2 linked regions of the Oryzias latipes genome follow. The protein of the gene in region 1 interacts with the protein of each later gene in a pairwise test. Links are inferred from orthologs where the notes say so. Each region holds a gene or a part of one and is shown in the gene's direction. Other genes may lie near its edges.

Region 1 (3,753 bases):
TTTGACACAATAGATATATTCTTTACAAAAACAAAACTATCTTTATCCAACAGTGGTTTGATAATAATATCAGACTAGTTAGTCAATTATTCAATCAACAAGGTCAACTTTACACTTACACCGAATTCCTTCAGTTCTACCAGATCCCTGTTTCTATGAAGGACTTTTCGGTTGTTTTTGATGCCGTTTCCCTCAACCTCACCTATCTTTATAAAGGAACTCCTACTCCATCTGCTCCCCAACCACAGCTTCATGTGACAGACACTGCTGTCGGAAAACTCTGCTTCTCTGCTTTGAGAAATCAAAACAAAACCATCCGAAGACTGTTCCAGCAGGAGCTCAAAACTGAATCCCCGGCCATAACTTTCTGGACTTCACTTCATGGTCAAATGTGTTGGGAAAAGGTTTGGCTTCTGCCAAACAAATATCTTCTAAACAACAAAGTGAAAGAGGTTTCATTCAAGATCATTCATAGGTTTTATCCAACAAATCAGTATATGCAAAGGCTAAAAAGGGATATTGATAAAAACTGTTTTTTCTGTTCTCAGTCTGAGGAAACGTTGGTGCATATTTTTTGGACCTGCAAGTACACTGAAAAAATATGGGACAAAATGACAAATTTGATAAAAACTCAAATTTATCCACATTTTAATTTAACCTGGAAAAACATCTTATTTGGTTACATTAATTATGATAAGACATTTTTATCTCAATTTTATTTAATAAATCTTCTAATTTTATTAACCAAGTATTATATTCACAAATCTAAATTCAGCAATAAAGCTCCTAATTTTCTTGATTTACTAGCCCAAGTTAGATGTTACTTACATTCCATTTCCCCCAGTACAAACAAAAAAGCTATTAAAACGTATCACCTTGCTCAGCTGTATAATTTAGTGTAAGTTTATTTTTTTGCTTGCATATCCCCTGGCGTTTATTTTGAACATTTGATGTACAGCTTATTGTTCCTTGTTCTTTTGCTGTATGTCACTTTTGTTCTGCATCAATAAAAAAAAAAAAAAAAAAATTTCCGGGTTGGCTCCATAACTTCCGCTTAGCGACGCATGCTCAGTCTCACTGCGTTTTACGTCTTTGATGTGGACCGGCATTTTCCCACAACACACTGCAGCAGCTTACACCAACGACGAAAATGGCGGACAACTGTTCTTCGGTAGGTTATGGAAACGTATATTATTGTTTTTAAAAATAACAGCTACTATTGGATACTAACATCTGCTGTTTTATCAACAGGTCGAAATTGTGGAAGGCTGTCGCCTCCCCGTTCTTCGTAAAAACCAGGAACATGAGGATGAGTGGCGTAAGTACTTTTCGTTCGTGCTTAGAGCTAAGCTAATGCTAACTAACAAACAAATATGACGGCCTTCAAAAAAACCTTAAAAACAAATTCAGATAAAATGCAGTGACTGCTATGGTAGAAACTGTTCGTTTAGGTCTAAATTGCTTTGTTACTTCTTTATTTGTGTTTTTGGGCTGGAAATCATTTAGTCGCAATGTTTAAACACTAGAAATTTAGATAAGTCTGAATTACATTTTGCTTTTCAAAAGCCCTACATTTTAAATTACGAATTTAAAAAAAGGTTGAGTTTCATACGCAAGGATTGTATAAATTGTGATAATTCACTGCTGTCCAGTACAGTTCATCATGTAGACATGAGAGCTGAAGTTAAAGATGACAATGTTTTTTCTTAAAAGAGCATAAGTTCATCTAGTTTGTTGAATTCCTGAGGTAGTTCCAAGCTATTTAAATCAAAGTACTAGCTTTGTTACACATCATCAGTGTGATTAAAGTAAGCAATACCCATTTTTATCTTGGCGCTAAAAAGCAAAACCACTCTTGCACTAATTATAACTGTGAATGTTCATTTTCCACTTGAATTAAGATAAAATAGCTGTGTGTTTACTTTGTAAATAGTATTTATAATTTCTTTTCTACTTGTGCAGCTTTGGCTGAGATCCTGAGTTTGAAGGAGGTTTCTGGAAGAAAGCTGTTCTATGTTCACTACATTGACTGTGAGTAAAGCAAAGTTCATCTTTCCTGTTTCACTATCATTAAAGAAAGCTTAGACTTTTCATTCATGTCATTGTTTCAGAAAAAACAAAAGTGATTCCAAACACATAAAGAACGTTCTAGTTTCGGTCGTGTTTCATATGGACGGAAAAAAATAATCTTTTCATAACAGTTGGTCTTTTAGTTGGTAATGTAAAATTGTGTGTGTCTGCAGTCAACAAGCGCTTGGATGAATGGGTCACAGCAGACAGGCTGGACATGAAGAAGCTCCAGTTTCCCAAAAAAGAAGCAAAAACACCCACAAAGAATGGACTGTCAGGCTCGCGTCCTAGCTCACCAGAAAGAGCAGAAAGAGAAGTAGTACCAGTAAGTTTACCCTTGAAGATTCATAATAAAGCATTAGTAAACTACATTTAAATGTTTACGGCAGTTCCCCAACAGTACTGTTGGAAAACAGTTGGTTGTGAAAGACTATTTTCATTGACTGCTTAGTTTCCATCTTATTGAAGTTGAGTTTTTTTTTGATAAAAAATTGAATCTACAGGTTTTTTTTCCAGTCACAAAAACAAAACATACTTGCATACTTGCCAGGCTTGTTTTTAGGACCTTTTTTTTTTTTATCATAATCTGTTTCTGTTTTATGAGTGTTGTCAAGCACTACATATATATAGTGTATATATATAGTTATATATAGTTGGAAAGTTTTGTCTGTATGCTGTTAAGTCTGGTTTTCTTTTGAAAATGTGTCTTTGCTCACTATTTCAAGGGCCACACACAATCACAACAAAAGCATGAACGGCAAAAGCATGAATGGCATCTCTGGGTTTTTTGTAAGTCAGTTGGTAAAGCAGCTTCTGCAGTCTCCTGCTCATTCTGTCTGATGAAAAACAGACAGACCAGGTTTATGTCGACACTCAGCAATGTCGGTCATCTGCAACATATTTGGGTTAGGTGTTTTGCAGACAAAATCCTTCTTGAACAGCATGCATTGACAATAGTTGCTGCCCTGTTTCTCTTCTAAATGACACAGGCTATAAACTTAAGTAGATTAGAATTCTTCCTTTAGCTTCAAAGCAGAGAAACAAAATGGTTAAAAATCAAATTCAACAAAGCAAATGTTCAAGATTTATTTGATGCTTTACTCAAGATGCCTCTGATACAAATATAACTAAAATTGGAATAAAATGATATTGTTGAATCAATTGTTACTTAAAAAAATGAATAGTTCTCATAATTAAATGGATAAATAACGCCCCGTAGAGTTGATATTGACTCTCTCCTTAAAACTCAACCCTCACACTTTATTTGAGCTGTGGACTCTCTTTAAAGTTTGAAATTTTGCCAGTTAAAGTTTAATGTTATTATAATTTCAGGGGGGGGTTGTCTCTAAATTACCTAAATCACTGCGCTGTCTGCTTTCTCTTCAAACTGTGCTCTGTGAGGTGACTGCATAACAGTGAGGATTCATGTTTCAGTCCATGTTTCAGACTTATTTTCTAGAACCAAAGTATGGTGGCACCGGAGAGCTATCCCTAAAACTGAGACTCAGTTTGGTCAAAGTTGTCTGTCTGAGAGCACAAGGAGTAGCAAACAGATGTTGGGGCTGACGGGGCAAAATGCAACAGCACAGCACTCTGCAATATTCATGTTAATTACTATAATATTTTATAATTTATTCATGTAAATGCTGTGCCTAAAAAAGAACATATTTTAATATTCTTTAC
Region 2 (3,753 bases), on another chromosome or scaffold:
ATTGCACATCTCTGCAGGCTGGACTTTGTACCAGACAGAACACAAGTTGCACAAATGTACCTAAAAGCACCTTTTTACATGAACGCAATCACAAAGTCCCGTCTTTACAGCTTAGAAGTTTACCACTGATGTTTCTGCAGATGTTTGTAGCGAGTCAGTATGAACACAGAGGACTAACGAGTCCAATTTATGTCATGAAATGTTTCCATGTTTTTCTCTAAAATCAATGCATCAGTTTCGTTCCGACTCAAACGTCGAGGTGCTTGAACTGTTGTGAAACAGACAAAAGAAGATCACCACGAGGCAGCACTTGCAGCACTGAGTATATCATGGATCATGAGTTTGACTCGCTGCAATCTAATCTTAGCTTGACCTTTGCGTCCCTTCTTTGACCTTAAGCTGTAAAGCGGCGGCTGGGACTGGCATGCTTGCACTCGGAGGGGTTGTGATAGTTCAGCTATGCCAGGACCACTGGACGTCTGCCACCAAACCCGCCGTTGCTGCTCAGCTTCAGAGCAGAGAACCGTCTCTGCAGCCTGCTGAAACATGCAGAGGAAATCTAAGCGAGCGTTTGTCGGGTCTGGTCTGCTTGTGCAACACGTGGGGAAAATCTAACACCGTAATCTTGGGAGATCTTTTCTTTCTGATGTCAACATTGTTGACAGAACAGGGAGTCAAAAATAGACTTCGGAAGGCAGCTGGCATGCCTGAGCCTTGTTGTGTTTTGAGACTGGTGAAGAAAGCAAAGATTATTAATCTCTAAAAGATAAAATGTGCTCTTGCAGATTCCTTAGCTGCAGCACTTTCAAGATAAAGTTTTACTATAGAGCCGTTTCCAAATGTCCACACAAAAGTCACAGTTCAGGTGAGCAAACTGACTCCGACAAGTTCCTCTGCACGACTCAAGTTGAGCAACTGAGTTTCAACTTTTGACTTGAGCTGAGGGGATAAAACGGCAGAAAAAGAGGCACGGCAACAGAACCATTCAAGTGAAGGGTCATGGTCTTTGAACATTAAATGTCAGCGTCACTAAGCCAGAGATTTGATCCCCCATTTGCTCTCTCCATGTGTCTGCATTCAGTGAGAAGGTCAGCAGGGACCCCTCTCTTTTTTCAGCTGGAGGATCTAAATCAGGACCTCCAAATGCTTCAGACTAAACTGACAGCACATATTTTGAATTAGAATAAATGCTCTAAAGAGTTAGGACTGTAATTAAAAGTTAAATATGAAGAAGAATTGAAAGGAGCTTGACAAAAATGGGATTTCAGAGCCTGTGTCTGAGCAGCTAACGACCTTGACATTCACAGGGGGCGGGGTGAGGATCGGTGACCATTAAGGGGTGTGGCTTTGTCCTGAGGGGGCCATCATAAATACTCCCAACCAAACTTTGCTCTTCCCCACTCACACCCGGAGTCGCAAGACAGACAGAAGCGTCTCACAAACGGTAAAGGCTTCAGCTGTTTCTGGCAGCATGACTCTTTCATTGAAATCACCTGGAGACAATTGATGCAAAACAGTCACTTTGCTTTGTTTCTGCTTGATTGAAGCTGTTTAGAAAGTTGTAAAGTGTCATGGAGAAGTTGCAGCAATCAAAGTGATCCAAAAAAAAAGGACTTGCATGAATGTTTGAGGCCTTCTGCTCATCTTTCTGCCCAAATGATGTGTGATTTTAAAAAAAATATTTGTTGCATAGATTTCTAAAGGATGTTTTTTTTAAATTGTTATTCTTTAATCTCACAGAGGACTAAAGATCAACCCAGGCTAAAATGGTGAAAGTTGGTATCAATGGGTAAGAGCTTTTTCTCAACACTTCAAGCTCACAATGCCACATTGTTCTTGATGCACTTCAAATATTTCCTTTTTAATCATTTTATTTTTTTAATACATTCCTGGAGTGGTTTTGCAAAACGTTCCCTGAATTGTTTGATTTCTTAAAATAAGGATCTCTTAATGAAACTCTGAATGTTCAGACTAACTTTAGCAGAGTTCCAAGAAACCTTGAGGACACTTGATTTAAAGAACAAGCTCTGGTTTACTAAAGAGTTTTTAATTTTCCCTGGCGATCAAGACGTACATGGAGCTGAAGCAATTGGCATCCAATTTGAAGGTGGTGTGCAACATCTGAAGCAACAAGTGTCCCCTGATGCATTTGAACAAACCTTTGCGCCATCTGGATGTTTTTTGTTTTCTCTCAATCTCTGAACTTTGGCCTTTTGGTAGAAAACTTTGAGTTTGTTTCACCCCTTCAACTGGACAGACGTTTTCTTCTACTCTTGGAATTGAGTAGAAATGAAGCTGAATATCTCATTGGATATTGAACTATCACAATCCTGAATCTTTAGTGTTATCTGCCAGTCCTGCTGGCCTCTGTTTTAGACCAGGTTTTCAGGACTGTGGTTAAAAAGTAACCCGACCATTGATCAAACCGCAGCTGTGGCGTCATCAGGATTAACACACTGGCGGTTCTTCTGACTTTTGCCCCCAGAAAGGGGCGTGTGAGCATTTGAGCGGCATGCAGCCCCTCCTCATGAGCTCTGCCCTTTATCTGACTGCAGATTCATGTCTCCTGGGATGTTATGCATAAGCCAACGTGAAGGAAGGAAACAAAATGGGGTTCTTTCAGTGAACCGCGTTTGCTCGGGTTCACCTGAAAGTCAGCACTAGCGTCCCTTACTGAATGATTTCAGGTTATTAGGCATTGGCCCCTTTATGTCACTGCCACTCAGACATAACTGCACAGATTAGATGGCCTCAGGACGCCATCTAGAGGCCAGACTGATACTTGTCCTTCCACATTTCAGTTTTGGCCGTATCGGCCGTCTGGTGACCCGAGCTGCTTTCACCTCTAAAAAGGTGGAGATTGTGGCCATCAATGACCCGTTCATTGACCTGGACTACATGGTGAGTGAAAGACATTAAGTCTTAAATTAAATGGGGGGGGGGGGGGGGGGAGATCTTGTATTCAAGTTATTTTTGTTTTAAGGTCTACATGTTCAAGTATGACTCCACCCACAACCGCTTCAAGGGTGAGGTCAAGGCTGAGGGAGGCAAACTAGTCATTGATGGACACCAGATCACCGTCTTCCATGAGTGAGTTAATGTGCCAGTATTTAATAATCAGTGATTACTTTTTAGGACGACTAAAAGAAAGTGATTGGATTTTTCTTTGCAGGAGGGACCCTACTAACATTAAATGGGGTGAGGCCGGTGCCCAGTATGTTGTGGAGTCCACCGGTGTGTTTACTACCATTGAGAAGGCCTCTGTATGTATGCTCCCCTCTGGATATCATGATTTTTATTTATTTATTTATTTTTGGATCAAGCAAATGCGGAATAATCCTCTTTAAATCCCAAAATGCAGGCTCACTTGAAGGGCGGTGCCAAGAGAGTTATCATCTCTGCACCCAGCGCAGATGCCCCCATGTTCGTCATGGGAGTCAACCACGAGAAGTACGACAACTCTCTCACGGTTGTCAGGTAAGATGACTTTTAATCTACAAAAGGACCGTCCATTTTTGGATCTTACAGCTCTGACGCCAATGTTTCTGCTTTTCAAAGCAATGCGTCCTGCACAACAAACTGTCTGGCCCCCTTGGCCAAAGTCGTCCACGACAACTTCGGCATTGTTGAGGGCCTGATGGTGAGAGCAGACGCTCCATTAAACGATTTTTGCTGCTGAATGTTCAGACTCATTGAACCCACCTCCCTTTTTGTCTTGGTCTCTCTTCAGAGCACAGTTCATGCCATCACTGC

What was found.
Region 2: the proteins of kat5 (region 1) and gapdh interact in binary tests that used the Homo sapiens proteins (3 or more experiments, as listed by UniProt). The link is inferred for Oryzias latipes from reciprocal best matches to the Homo sapiens genes KAT5 and GAPDH.

Annotation. Positions count from the first base shown.
Region 1 is NC_019872.2:15,162,140-15,165,892, reverse strand, and holds the start of kat5 (histone acetyltransferase KAT5), read left to right. Parts: upstream 1-1,051; 5' UTR 1,052-1,150; coding exon 1,151-1,171; intron 1,172-1,251; coding exon 1,252-1,318; intron 1,319-1,962; coding exon 1,963-2,031; intron 2,032-2,243; coding exon 2,244-2,395; intron 2,396-3,753. UniProt on the Homo sapiens protein: Catalytic subunit of the NuA4 histone acetyltransferase complex, a multiprotein complex involved in transcriptional activation of select genes principally by acetylation of nucleosomal histones H2A and H4.
Region 2 is NC_019874.2:20,246,257-20,250,009, forward strand, and holds the start of gapdh (glyceraldehyde-3-phosphate dehydrogenase), read left to right. Parts: upstream 1-1,361; 5' UTR 1,362-1,444; intron 1,445-1,740; 5' UTR 1,741-1,766; coding exon 1,767-1,789; intron 1,790-2,801; coding exon 2,802-2,901; intron 2,902-2,983; coding exon 2,984-3,090; intron 3,091-3,172; coding exon 3,173-3,263; intron 3,264-3,361; coding exon 3,362-3,477; intron 3,478-3,558; coding exon 3,559-3,640; intron 3,641-3,730; coding exon 3,731-3,753. UniProt on the Homo sapiens protein: Has both glyceraldehyde-3-phosphate dehydrogenase and nitrosylase activities, thereby playing a role in glycolysis and nuclear functions, respectively.